Kluyveromyces lactis: one gene and its partners. The protein of the gene in region 1 binds, or shares a complex with, the protein of each later gene. Links are inferred from orthologs where the notes say so. Each region holds a gene or a part of one and is shown in the gene's direction. Other genes may lie near its edges.

Evidence for each region.
Region 2: COG6 (region 1) and COG2 share a complex: the UniProt entries of both Saccharomyces cerevisiae proteins name them as parts of the conserved oligomeric Golgi (COG or Sec34/Sec35) complex. The link is inferred for Kluyveromyces lactis from reciprocal best matches to the Saccharomyces cerevisiae genes COG6 and COG2.
Region 3: COG6 (region 1) and COG7 share a complex: the UniProt entries of both Saccharomyces cerevisiae proteins name them as parts of the conserved oligomeric Golgi (COG or Sec34/Sec35) complex. The link is inferred for Kluyveromyces lactis from reciprocal best matches to the Saccharomyces cerevisiae genes COG6 and COG7.

The regions. Positions count from the first base shown.
Region 1 is NC_006042.1:375,455-380,770, reverse strand, and holds COG6 (Golgi transport complex subunit COG6), read left to right. Parts: upstream 1-2,516; coding exon 2,517-4,856; downstream 4,857-5,316. Other genes in the region: XBP1 (Xbp1p), read left to right, coding at 556-2,061; DPH1 (2-(3-amino-3-carboxypropyl)histidine synthase), read right to left, coding at 4,913-5,316. UniProt on the Saccharomyces cerevisiae protein: Acts as a component of the peripheral membrane COG complex that is involved in intra-Golgi protein trafficking.
Region 2 is NC_006038.1:973,687-978,456, forward strand, and holds COG2 (Golgi transport complex subunit COG2), read left to right. Parts: upstream 1-2,565; coding exon 2,566-3,279; downstream 3,280-4,770. Other genes in the region: chromatin-binding protein CTF4, read right to left, coding at 1-1,972; FG-nucleoporin NUP57, read left to right, coding at 3,571-4,770. UniProt on the Saccharomyces cerevisiae protein: Acts as a component of the peripheral membrane COG complex that is involved in intra-Golgi protein trafficking.
Region 3 is NC_006037.1:775,916-780,777, forward strand, and holds COG7 (Golgi transport complex subunit COG7), read left to right. Parts: upstream 1-2,618; coding exon 2,619-3,371; downstream 3,372-4,862. Other genes in the region: replication factor A subunit protein RFA1, read right to left, coding at 1-592; RPN14 (Rpn14p), read left to right, coding at 1,045-2,316; calcium-transporting ATPase PMC1, read right to left, coding at 3,611-4,862. UniProt on the Saccharomyces cerevisiae protein: Acts as a component of the peripheral membrane COG complex that is involved in intra-Golgi protein trafficking.

The DNA.
Region 1 (5,316 bases):
GCTTCGTGACTAAACCATTGCAAACGTAGGAAGTACAGACGAGAAAAATACTCCGCAAGGCCGCACCTATCCAATTACGGGACGTATTCTTTTTCAGGCAAATACGCAGGAAAATTTTTTTTTAAGAAAAAGCCGTTCCACAATCTCGAGATTTTCTACCGATCCCTATAGTTGTGAAGTGCAACCTTTTTTTTGTCGGTATTTCGTGATACCATTCGGCATCTGAAGGAAAACAGATATTCAATATTGACCATCCCCCTAATTTTCACATTGAGTGTCTTGGATCCTTATTTTCATATTGAATTTTTTTTGTCTCATCTCAAAATCATTACCACTTCAGACAGCTATTATATTTCTGGAGAGTGTTATTGACAGTGAATAAAGGACTATCAAATATAAAAAAAAAGACACGACAACTGACTGCAATTTGACCTTGTCAGATTAATTTTTGGTTTCTGCGATTCTTTAGTGTTCTGACCACAACCTAATTATATTTTGTTTCTAGCTTGCCCTGGGTGCGATTGATATAATCAACTTTCGATAGACAATTGCACCATGCCATCTGTTGTTGGGAATGATCAATATGGGGTATACCCAACCGATGGAACTACATTTCAGTTGTCTCCAGATCCGTTGGATGATTACCAAAGATATCTATTTGTAGAAGTGTATGAACTAATGCGACCCAGTTTGGCGCAATTTCCCCATGCTTTGAAGTCACAGTTATCTATCGACCGGAAGGAATACAAGACAAATACAGTTTTTGAATCATTCGAATCGCAATCCAGTGGTGATATAAATGAGGAAGGATCTCATACCTTGGGCCAAGAGAATAATGGAAAATATACCAACGAAAGGCGACAGAATCATCGTAATAAGTCGGGCAGCCTGGGAAAGTTGAAAAAATCTACCAGTTTAATTTGTAACGAATATATCATTCCGGATATATCAAGAAACCCGGTGACACAACGGACTTTTGACCCTCATTTTCAGCCGTATTTGCAATTAACTCCATACAACATTCTTTCATTAGAAGACGAACAAGAAGACACTGATCCAAACCAACCATGTTTTCCTGATGATTTATCTTCTTCTGACCGTGAGTTGAGGACTGCTATAAACCTGTCCAATAAACCAGGTTCTAACATTACAAAAAATCAAGAATTTAGAATGATTAAATTGAACGCCAAGATTAACCAAACACTGATCATAAATCCAAACAATTGCATAATTTGGAATTGTGAAACGGGGTATGTGTTTTTCACTGGTATTTGGAGATTGTACCAAGATATCATGAAATGCTTATGCACCACGAATAGACAATATCAACAAGACCAATCTGCCCGCATCCATTGTTGTAAAGAATTGCAGAAAGTCTTGTTCCAAGTCATATACGGTAAACTGGACAAACCAAGTAAAAAAGACTCCCAACAAAAATGGAACAAATGGTTTCAAAGAGAATCCTTCTCAACTTATATCGATTTGCATTGGCATAAGTTGAACCCTACATTATCAACGCTATTGGGTCAATCCTATGATGCAAAAATTCCCTTTGAACGTATGGTGAAGAGAATTAGAGGAGGATATATCAAGATTCAAGGGACTTGGTTGCCATATCCTGTTTCTAAAGAGTTGTGTTCGAGATTTTGCTACCCCTTGAGATATCTACTAGTCCCATTGTTTGGTCCCGATTTTCCTGAGAAATGTGAATACTGGTATTCACAAAGAACAGAAATTTCGCCGTCCCTCACTGCTTCAATCTCTCCAAAGTCAACAAATTCCATCTCAACTCTCACTAGCGATGAAAGAGATAGCTTGAATACTGCTCAAGATCTTCTAAATATTTCTCGCAGATCTTCCTGGAATGAATATAGACACCCGTCGATTGTTCCTCAAATCCATCTGCAAAATCGTCACTATCGTTCGCAATCATGGACCGGAATAGTTCAGCAGAATCCAGCTGCTGAAGAAAGAAGAAAATCTTCTGATGTCACTTTACCGCCAATACAGTATTTGTTTGATGATATAAGAAACTCATACTTAGATGACCCAAAAAGATAATATTCAAATCAAGAATATCATGAACGAAAAACGGCGCACGCATTGTTTTCAACAAGGCTGACCTTATCGTGACAGTGGCCTTTTCAACTTAAATTACTTTATTCTATTCTTTGTTAGAACCAGGTTCTGATATTGAAGAATACCTCACTTTTTTTCATTCATACTATAGATGCTTATTGTCCCTTATTTTAATTAGGTACGTAGTCTCCACTGGTGGTAGATTCAAACAATAATAATCTTTACTTTGTTTATGTTTTGAATTGTACAATACTCAATTACACACATACCATATATAAACCGATTCAATAAATACGAAAAACCTAAATCTTTCATTTTTCGAAATAGAAAGTCATACAAATTGTATTAAAGAGACATTAAACTACTCGCGAAATCAGGATTCTGACATACTAACTAATCATTGCACTCAATTATAAATAGCAGATCTCATATCTGTAATGGACTTTCTAGATTTTCCGGCACTGGTAGTGGACGAGTCTGCTGCATTACCTCAACCAGCGTCACGTCTTTCGTTGGCAAGCTTGAGATTGAATGACGATGAACAAGAGGCCAAATTCGTTCTACCGAATGTCAGCAAGCATGACACCGAGTTTACCGATCTTCACAGCAAGATGAAACATTTTGCCAGCATTTCCCTCGGTGAAATACGCCCTGCGTCCGTCTCTTTATCGAAGGAGGTCGCAGCTCCTATATCAAATAACATCGAGAAACCTACAACTACAAACCAACTTTTATCCAAGAAGATTAACAGCTTATTGAATGTTCCCAATTATGCGAGTTACACATCTGATTCAGAAACAAAACGAGCTCTTCAAATCCTTGATGCAAATCACTCTGATTTGGGACTTAACTTCAACCAACTGGTTGCCTCTGATTTCGTTGGAACTTTAAACAGAAAATCACTTCGCTCAAAGCTTGAGAATTCAATGCTCAACTCCCATTCGGATATTTTGAGTAACTTTCAGTCTATTGCAAGAAGAATCAAAAGACTTTCTGGACCCTTGGAAAGAATTAACAATGCTATGCAGAATTTTAAAGATACAACGGAATCCATAGATTTTGAATTCGAACATGTCAAAGATAGACTTGATCAATTGAAGGCAAGACGTCAGGTAATAATTAAATTAAGGGATTCCTTGACTTTAACGCAATTAGAACTGGATCATTTACAGAATGGAACAATTAATGACCTCTTCTTTCAGATTCTGAATAAAATCAACTTTATCAAAGAAAAAGCAACATATCTACTCTCCAATGAGAAGACCACATCTGCTGGCGTGGCACTATTAAAAACGATGAATAATAATTTAACGGTATCGAACAAACGGATATATAATTATCTCATAAACTTCATTGAAGAATATGATACTTTATCAAGGCAGTACGGCGAACGTACTATTGGCGATGAATCTCTCTCTAACTTCCAAACGAGCTTGATTCATTTATCAAATGACGTTCAATTCTTTCAAGATTTCTTGAACAGAATTGTGGGGTTAAGGTCTAAAAGGTTATTAGACGACTTTTTGTCTCAATTTGATATAGATAATAAAAAGTTACAAAGACCTATTATACTATCGGCCCATGACCCTGTCAGATATCTTGGTGATGTCCTAGCTTACGTGCACTCCATGATTGTTAACGAACTAGAATTTTTGAAATCAACTTTCAAGCTAAAGTCAGAATTAGTAACGTCCGACTCAGTTTTGAAAGATAATATGGATTTCATTGGTGACTTGCACCTGAAGCTTCTCAACGAAATATTTACCTCATTGGCGAATACAATCAGAATAAGGTTAGAACAAATTGTCCGATTTGAAAATAACCCGATGCTAAATCTAGACATCGTTCAGTGTTTGAGTTTATACCAAATGATGCTCGTAAAAAATGGTATCAATGAATCCAGTCAATTAATGACTAGTCTCAATGATCTGGAAAATCTCGCAAGATCCAAAATTGTTTCAAGTGTTACATCATATCTCAAGGACTTGGATAAAAATCAAATTGCGGCTGCCGATCTACTTCCACCAGACTGGTTTGTAGATTATTTGTCCAAACTTTCTCAACTTTTGAACAAATTGGAGCAGCAAAACGAAACAAGAATATTAACAGATGATTTGTATGATAAGCTGATTTTAGACCCCATTAATAATAACTTAGTATTGAATTTGCAGAATTGGTTCCCCACAGCTAAAAAGGAAAAGTCAGCCAGAATTGATTTACTTATCGTACAGATTAATAGTTTTGATCTCGTGAAATCAAAACTAGGTCCCTTTCACAGCACCATTTTTTCATCTGATTACGGCAAAAGCGTCTTTTCGAAACTGGAAACGCAGTATACATTATGCGTTACCAAGTTAAAGGAAACAATGAATAGCTATCTGTTCGAATCAACGGGTATGGAATTGTACTTTAATCTCTTCAACATGATTTTCCCAATTATTTCTGTGCAAGATGAGCTTGATTACGACATGTATCTTTCGGCGGTTGAGAACCCAATCATGAAATTAGCAGTTATTCACGACAATATCCACGAAAAATTGAACACCTATCTTCCATTAGCAGTTTCTGATTTTCAAGATGTAAAATTATTCAATTTGATGCCACCAGCGGTTGAAGAGGACATTGTGTCCACCTGTTTCGGAAATTTTATCAAATTCTATAAAGTGTTCAAAAGCGTTTTGAACAAAATATATCCGGAAGACGAAGAAATGATAATGTCGACATTAAACTTTACGACTAACGAAGTTTCCACCCTACTAGGTGTTGAAGATAAATAATTAAATAAACAAATGTGATGTCCCAGATTGTAATTCGATATAATTAATGCATTTACTTAGATAGTTACGTCGTCATGGTTTGGGACCTTACCTCTACCATATCCGTTAATATGATAATAATCCATCGGGTAATATTTCTCATTGAACATCCGGTCGTTTTCAAGCATCACGTTAGTTTCGTACGGTGTTAGTAATGGTTTATTGAAAGCATACCCCCAATCAATGGACAACCTTGGGCAGGCAACTTGAACAAAGGCATCGATATCATCAAACATTGCAAGCTTTTGTGGGAAAATCTCGCTGAGAATAATCTTTACTACAGTCCTTCCGGAAGCCTTGAGCTTAGTTTCGAGATTTTCAACTGTTGCTAGATTACCTTGTCTACCTAACGCGCCAAGTATCAAACCAACTTTCTTCGAACTGCGAGCTTTATCAATGGCAGATGCTCTTACCTCTACCA
Region 2 (4,770 bases), on another chromosome or scaffold:
TTTGCGGATGTTGTTGGAACATCGAGTAAGTAATACCATGATATTGTGAGTAATGAATGGTGAACACTTTGTACTCATGAGCAGACAAAGCAACAATAGGTGACATTTTTTCTATTGCCAGTGGTAACCCAAAATCGTTATAAGTACGAAGATATCCGAGAGATGTTCCTACAATTACACGTTTAGGAGTACAGGCAATTGAAGTAACTCTTTCTTTGGAAAGTAAGGGAATCTTTTTAGTCCATGAATCTCCAGAGGGACTATGTGGCTTGTATTGAATTTGACCCATCTTCGACTGGCCCAATAGTATACCTTCATCGGTCAGTGAACAAAGGTCATATTTGAATAAATCGTCGAAATGATACTCACGGAATCGACTAACATCGAAAAAAGAGACCGTTATAGAATTGCTACCGCCTTCATTTCTTGTTGTCCATACATGACCTAGTTGGTTTATAGTAAGGTATCTTTTATCGCTATTCCCGAAAGGTGTCGCGCCTGTTGAAAATGGTCGGTATTGGAATTGAGCTGGTGGTTGGTAAATTCTGCGATGATTTACATGATTAGCTGTCAAAGAAGGAATTGATTGAACATGAGTTTTTGGTCTCTTATATTGTGCGGCCTCGCCATTATCATCCTCAATAAAATCATCTTCATTCTCGAAATTGTATGTACGCTTAGGTTCATGTTGATCCATTTCTGCATCTGTGAAAAGGTTGTCAGAGTTTATATCTTCACTAACCTCACCTTTGTCATCAGCTTTGTCGTTGTTTTCATATTTCGATCTTCTGTTATTATCATTCTTGGAAGGCTCGTAGAACTCAGGACCGTTGCTTGTTTGTTTAGATAAATCATCTATGTCACTATCGTCAAATAACTTTTCATCATCAGAGCCAACAAAAAGCTTACCACCGGTATTTGAATAAGCAACTGTAGTATTTACTGAAACAATGTCATTGAACGTGATAACATCGCCCGACCAAGTACCTGCTACCAAGCTAAGTTTGGTTCTCTGATCGTTTACTCTCCAAGACAAAGAAGTGATACTATACCTAAAGCTTTCGTGAACAAGCTGTGTACCAGTACTTAAATTCCAAATAAATAGATGAGAATTTTGGTTGGAATTACCGACTGCAGCGATTGTGTTTGAATGAATTTGGTCTATTGTAAGTGCGTCCCAGTTGTTAACGTGCACACTTGGCTTGAACGAGGTCACCAAATCATGATCTGATAATTTAAATAACTTAATGACACTATCTTTTGCTGGAATTGCATATTGGTCTCCTTTATTGGTCCATGCAACTCTAGTGCATGTTCTGTTATCTTCGCATAGCATAGGATCAAGTCCATCTATAGCGACTGAATCGGCGTTTTCAGTATTATTCTCAGTGTCCGCTGGTAGATCATCATTGAAGAATATCTTAGGTAGCTGATCATGCAATGTGTGGATTCTATTGGGTGTAGTAGAACTTAAAGAGTAGAATACAACGTTACCGTTACTGAGTGATACTGCTAGAATGTTATTTTGTTTGTTGTATGATAAACTAACCAGTTGTTCGTCCAAAGTTAATTTAACGTTTGAATTTCCCTCTTCTAATGCAACCAATGTCATTTCTAAATCATCCCCACCTACAACACATACTTTATCATCATGAACTAAGGCCAAATCACGCAATGGTAACGAGGATCTAAAGCATAACTTGTTCTTGTTTTCCAGTACATTGTACCAGTATAGGTCGCCATTGCGGGAAACAACATATAAACCATCAGCTGAATTTTGACTCAAAACAAATGCGCTTGGTTCTTCACAAATATCAATGATATCAGGTTCCTTCTCAAGATCAGTTAAATTAAGAACTTTCACCAATGCGTTCTTATTTAAAGTGAAAAGTCGAGAACTGTCACTACTCAACCGTGCCTGGGTGTTCCCACCAGCAACAAATACCCTATTTTCAGTTAGTTTAATTGCCATTGGATGTTTCTGGGTATGTCTGAAGGAAACTATTCACTAATATACTGAGAACTGAGCTTTTTTCAGTGCATCTTATAGATTTCAAGCAAGTTGTGTCTCATCTTCTACTTGTTAAATCACCAAGACGCGTTTTTTCTGTTAAAAATACACGTTAGCTAAGAAGACAGAAATGAAACACAGAACTAGCACCATCAAGTATTAGTTGACACTGTTATAGTAGTGACAGTGCAGTGCATGCAATTGCCACAAGGTAAGGATGAGGTATTGGACCAAAAGTATCTAAACATTCTTGATTATAGATTTACTTATCTTAAGGAAAATTAGTCACGTGATGCGCAGTAATCATATCACCCTTATTCATCTGTATTGCACCATCAGTTTAGTAAGTGTGTTCCGAAAACTACCCATTCAAACACATGTATCGGTCTTTGCCCTTGTTATATACATGTATTTTTCTAACTATCAATTCTATTCAGCGTTCAAGATATTTAAAGGTACGAATCGATCCTTATATTCGAACGATCATTACCAGAAAAACGGAACAAGAGCGAAAAGAGAGGGAAAGTACTGTGTGAAACTACTCTCACCCAGCGATGACCGACCTAAATGATGATTTGGATCTACCAGTAACTAAAGAACTAAGCAGAGAGTTAGTTTCCAATTTTGTACGGAAGAATGGCTGCTTAGATATAGATAAGCTATTACTTGAGAATAACTTCCAATACGTATCGTTAGACGAACTCTCATATGAAGTATCTGCCTTGAAGCAATCAATGGAACAAACTATACTGGATGAAATCAATGACAATTATCCCGAGTACATGGAAATATGTGACAGGTTTAATACTAGTGACAATAACGAGGTGTTGAATAAGTTAAAACAAGTCTTGAATGATCTACAACAGTTCAACAAGCAATTACTCCAACTTTGTGATTCCTCAGTGGCTGAAACTAGAGAAAAAACAGTAACAGCATTATCCTACCTAAAATCGCTTGATAACCTATTTGGTAAACTGGACGATATCACAAAGCTATCAGAATCGCTAAAGATATGCCAGCAACTTGTATCATCCTTACAGTCTATGGTGCAGCTGAATATCGACGACGAGCTTTCCTTCACAGTGGCAAAGCAGCTCTCTACTATACTAATACGTTGTGACTACAGATTTAGACATTTGGAAGACAATGATTCCACCCTAATTACTCGAATGAGAAACGACTTTAAAAGTATTCTCGAGACCGCAAAGCCTTTAATTAAACCCGTTCTCGAGAAGCAGAACCAGCAAACTCAAACCATAAAAACTTAAATATATGATAAATGCGAACCCAATTCAAATAAAGTGAGATTCCACCCCCTAGGTGGAAGCGAGTCTACGCTATGAGTATCCTTACGTAAATGTGTATAACATCTCTGACTTTGAGCCTCATCTCATCATAATGAACGATCTTGAATTTTTCAGTTCTTCACAACAAAAGCATCAACAAACATCACAACTAACATTAAATCTATAAGAACGAACTGACAATATAGCAGGGCCAGCGTACTAACAGAACACTGTGAATATCGATAAGGTTCAATTTTCTGTCATCAATTAGCCATGTTTGGTGCAGTGAATTCGGGAAATAGTTCAATGAACAATGGCGGCGGTTTATTTGGTAACAAACCTGCTGCTGGAAACACAGGGTTCCAGTTTGGCGGTCAACAACAACAACAACAGCCACAGCAGCAGCCTGGTGGTGCTGGTAGCTTGTTCGGACAGAATAACAACTCGATAGGTAATACATCAAACACTGGAGGAGGTCTGTTCGGAAGTACACAGCAACAGCAGAAACCTTCTACTGGGGGTTTGTTTGGCAACACGAACTCTGCCGCGGGAGGAACAGGCGGGTTGTTCGGCCAATCCAATCAGCAGAATAATACCAATACTGGGTTGTTCGGCAATGCAAACTCTACAGGAATACAGCAGAATAATACTGCCCCAACCAGTGGAGGTTTGTTTGGGTCCAAACCGGCAGGTGGATTGTTTAATAACACACAGCAGTCCACCACTGGTATCCAAGGAAATCCCACTGGAGGTGGATTGTTTGGTAATAATAATGCGAACACAGGAAGTTCGGGTGGACTGTTTGGTAATTCCGGAAATACAAATACCAGCGCTACTTCTGGAGGTCTTTTCGGTGGAAACAGAACTGGGGGCCAATCCACAGGCGGACTTTTTGGCAATAACACTTCTAATAGCGGCACTACTGGAGGACTATTTGGATCCAAGCCTGTTGCGCCAGCTACTACATCTCTCTTTGGCCAAAATCAAACACAATCACAGCAGCAACAGCAACAACAGGGCCAGCAAGGTCAACAACCAGGGGGGGCATCCTTGTTTGGTTCAACGCCATCTACTACAATGCAACCGTCATTTGCATGGTCTAACACACAACAACAAGTACAGCCCCAGCAACAGTTGCCGTCGGTTCAGCAACCACAACAACAGCTACAAATTCAGCAACAACAGCAACAGCAACAAATATCTAATTATCCGCAACAAATCCAAGAACAAATTCTAAAGTGTAAGGAATCATGGGTGCCAAGTGAGCAAAGATCAAAACTTAAGACGTTTGTTTACAATAAATGTACGGAAACTGAAGCTATGTTGTATAATAAACCATTATCAATCTCGCAGGATGATTGGGATCAAGCGCTCATGAGTAAACCTGGTAATAATACTATTCCAATTAGACTACTAGGTTTTCAGGATCTCAATGATCGTAATCAATTACAAAAGCAGCATGTTGCACAGGCT
Region 3 (4,862 bases), on another chromosome or scaffold:
GATATGGAGAAATTTGTTCAATGGCAAAAATAGGCCTTGAATTTTGGGATGACCCATTATTCGATTTTGCCTTGGGCACAGAACGTGGTTGTGGGGCTGGAATGTTGCTGGTACTGGTAGGAGCCATCTTAGAAGTCATAGACGATGTAGCAGACGCAGCTGCCGATGCAGCCTCGGATGCTACGGCCCCGTTATCAGTCAAAGTCACCAACTCATTCATATGTTCACCCAAATAAGCATCGACAAATTCTGTAGCATTATTAAACAAATCTAACCCACGGCTAACAATCTCTATCTCATCTACTAACAACACAAACTTCTTCTTCTCTTTGATCACTGCGCATTCCGCGTTCAACACTTTGAAAACATCCCCTCTTTCTAATTCTGCCTGTTGAGCCGCCTCTGCAGCTTTGTTCCTCAAAAGAGCCTTGACATGGTATTTTCCATCGTTGATGAGAATCAAATTCTTTTTAGCATTAGTCTCAGTCTTCTTGGTTTGAACAACCTGGTAAATACCGCCGGTAGGATTGTTGTACCTCTCCGGAATACGGAAAATATCCAATAAATCACCTTCCAATAGTTGAACACCCATCTTCTTCTACCTATTTTAAAGACAAATAGCAGAACAAATCCGTTACTTGACTCGACTTGGCCTGGGTTTCACCTGTAGCTAATCTATAACTGACCCTGAGATGGCGTTGTTTATTTACAGTTCGCCTTTATATACTCTGCGGAAATTCGAAAATTTTTCGTTGAACCAAAATAAAAGGGATAAAATCGAGGAAATTGCTTTCGCGTTTACGCGTCTTACACGTGAGTATCACATGACTATCTTTCAGGTGGTTATTCACGTGACTTTGGGTTTTTTGAGCATCAGGTACGTATTACCTTCATTGATGATGAACAACTTAAACACCAGCAGTGGATTTCTGATTTATGGATTTTGAGCAATAATGTCAGCAGGTTTCCTGTGGATATCAACTGTCCAAACAATTTGCCCGTTTTACTGTATACCTTCCTGTTATTTTCCCTTAGTTAAATATAATGAGAGTTGAGGAATGGAACATTTGCAGTGAGTTTGATGATATTCTTGATGATGTGAGAGGAGAAAAGGTTGCCAGCGATAAGATATGGGTATCCAGGAGCAGTGGTGAGCCATTATACGATTTGGAATTTGATGTACGGTTAGATTCCAGGGGTAATGTTGGGTTTCATAATGCGAATACTTCTGATAAAATTTCCTTTCAAAGGGTAAGGCCACATTTATATGAATTGACAGGACCTGATGCGACAGCAGGACATTTAGCTTCGTTTCAAAGTCCGAAAAAACGGTTCCAACTGCCTTCTGATATTGGAGCTGTTGATTTAACAAGTATAGATATCACGAACGTGTTTGACCCCGAGATACGTTTGGTTTGTGGTGATACGAATGGTGGCATATATGTGCTACGGAAGAACACCGGTACCAATTATAGCGGTCCATTACAAGAAGTGATAAAGTTACCGGAAGCGCACGCTAGTCACATCACCAAGACCCAATTTTTCCCTAACGGCCATGGATTCTTAAGCAGTAGTATCGATATGCGCTTGAAGATTTGGGATGCTTCAACCGGTACTGAGCTCAGAACTTTCATAGGTCATACTCGGTCAGTCAACGATTTTGCCATGGTCGATAGAGGTAGAAACTTCGTCTCTGCAAGTTCGGATGGATCATTAAAACTATGGGAATGCTCAACTTCAGCATGTGTCTTTACGCTCAATTCAAACGATGGCATAAATTGTATTTCATTGGCCAATTACCAGGGAAATCCAGCGACCACATCGTACAATGCATTGGACCATAGCAACGAATACAATACTGAGGGGAAAGCTGTATTTGCTGGACACGACTCTGGTATCATCACGTTTCATGATATCTATAACAGAAAGAAGATATTGGATATTTTACCGGCAAGTAAATCTGCATGTGTCACTCTAACGAGCCAGCACATTGCAGGTGATGACCATTACCTATTTGCTGGCTATTCGGATGGTACGATAGTATCATGGGATACTCGTAACGTTTCCAAACCGGTGGAGACGCTCCAGGTAAATGATAATGATTCTATCTCAAGATTATTCTTGGCACATAACACGTTGAACGTTTCTAGTGGGGTCCAATTTGCTTTCAATGTACCTGTTTTGGACGGGAAATTCAATTTCAATAAGCTTACACATCTAATTCGTCCTTATGATGAAGTGACTGATTTCTGTGTTGATGAATCACATCAAAATGTTTGGTGCGTCGGAAAAAATGGTATGCTATTGAAATACTGATTTGTCGTCCAGTCTAAAAGAGAAGCAATAGAATTGTAAATAGAATTATACCCATATATAGTCCAATAAATTATCCATACGTTGCTCTCATCAATGTGTATAGTAATATCTGCTTTGATATTGTATCCTTCTCTTTTAAACCTTTCTTACTGTGCATCTGAAGGCACCAAAAATCATCTTGAAATCTTAACATCAAAATGAAGAAGTTAACCTTCTACCTCTAAATATGATGATCATGAAACACCCAAGTAAGCCACCAAATCACCTTTGAAGGACGATATAGCACTATAATTTCCTACACGATGAGTAGAAGGATATCTGGTGCTAATGACCCTTTGCTAGACATGTTTTTCGATGATGATTTTGTACCTCAAGCATTCGTCGACATATTGTTATCATCTTTCCAGACAAGCCAATTAGAAGAATTGAAGACCAATTGCTCTAGTCTACTTTCAAAAATGGACTATTACAGTGGGCATATTACAAAAGAACTTGAGTCCACTATTCAGGTGCTTCAGAAGCCTGCTGAACTTATTATATACGCAGCAAATGAGGAACAGCAAGGAACAACAAAACTAGAGTATTATTTGGATACTCTAGCGAATAGTGTGAACTTATTAGAGACAGACGTTAAAGCTATTGATAAACAATTAGAAGAGCTGAATTCTAAATATGAAGACAGTAATGAGGTAACTGAAACCTTATCAAAGCTTACAGCAGCTAAAGAGCATCTGGTAACTGTTAAGAGATCATTTGATCTATTAAAGACCATAATGGATATTTCAATCCAAGATGATCAAGAAAAACTACAGCATATTTCGTTAGATGACTTTAAACTTGCATTATTGACGTTACAGGAGACCATTATCATTACATTAAAGAAACCTCAGAACGATGCAACCGATTTGTTGAAGAAGATAGACGCATTTATCGAGTTGAAAACTGTTTTGAAGGGACTTCAAAAGTTCTATATCCCATACACAGAATTTGCACAAGCTATTCAGAAGGAGAAGGATAATTATCTAAATAGTAAGGATACACTAGATGAGTTATGATTTTTATATGTGACCGCGAAAGTTGTTCTATATAATTGTGATCGTTGAACGATTGAATAATTCATTACATCAAAAGCAAAGCAATACTCATCTTCAGAATGAAAATACGATGTCTTTAAAGGATACACATATAGTATGTAATAGATGTAATACTTAGCCGAAAACTGATTCAGCGTTATGCCATTATATTATAGCCCTTTGAAACGTATCTTTACGCAATAATTCAGGTCTCAGCAGAATTATTGTTTCTTATTTTCATTAGGTCCCGTAATATGAGAAAAACCACCAACAGCACCACCAACTAAAGTGGGTACCATAGTCACTGAGGCGATGAATGAATGTTCTTCTTCTGATTCATTTTCATCACCACTTGAGCTTCTCCATCTGTTGATTGCTGTGATAGGATTGTATTTAGAGGGCTCCGAAGTAGGTGGATGCACCTTATGGCTGATCATATCAGATTTGGCCCGCTGAAAAGCCGTAGATTCCACTAAGCTAGAGTCATTGGCATATTCAACCAAAAGTGATGCTTCCTCGTCCTCATCATGCTGCTTTTTGTTTTTATTTCTTTTGAAGATGAACTCCAGCCCAAAGACATACAAGATTGCACGTACTAACCTTCTTGGGAAGATTGCTAAGGCCCATTCATCTGGGCAAGCTCTAATGAACAGACCAACGGGAAGTGATATAAGACCGCAAATTATAGCTGTTGCCCACATAGCAGGAGTTTGTCTAGCAATAGAAAAGGCGGCACCACCAACAAACATGATTAAGATCTGGAACCCTCCGATCAACAAGGCAATACAGATGAAGTAGTAATTTCTGAACAAATGCTGGAAAAAGTTCAAGTTGTTTGCTGTTAACCTGTCCTTGAACTTTGAGATACCATCAGCTTCATCAAGTTTTCTTGTGACAATCAACTTGAAAAATTGTAACCAGACAAAAGTGTTAAAAGTCATTGCGTTAAGCTGTTCCTGTTCATGTGCAGTGATTGTTCTCTTATTTGGGAAGAATATTTCTTTACCACGGAAATGTAGTACAAATGTCACAGTAAGCTGTAGAGCAGCTTGACCCAGAATCATTTTCCATGTCGATACAGCAATTAAGGGAGCATCTCTGCCCTTTGGCTTTCTATCTAAGATAAACTCGTCAGGCTTATCCGTTGCAAGAGCTAAGGCAGCCAAAGTGTCCATAATCAAATTGACCCACAACAACTGAACTGCAGTCAACACAGAAGTTTCTTCTGCCGAGGCGACAGCAGAAACAAATGTTAAGATAACTGCTGTAATGTTAACGGTAAGCTGGAATTGGATGAACTTCTTTATGGACACAGAAACACATCTACCCCACTTAATTGCATTAACAATAGCGGTGAAATCATCTGTCATTAAGATAATATCAGATGCTTCTCTGGCCACTTCTGTACCAGATATACCCATTGAAAATCCGACATCGGCCAACTTTAGAGCAGGGGCATCGTTTGTACCATCA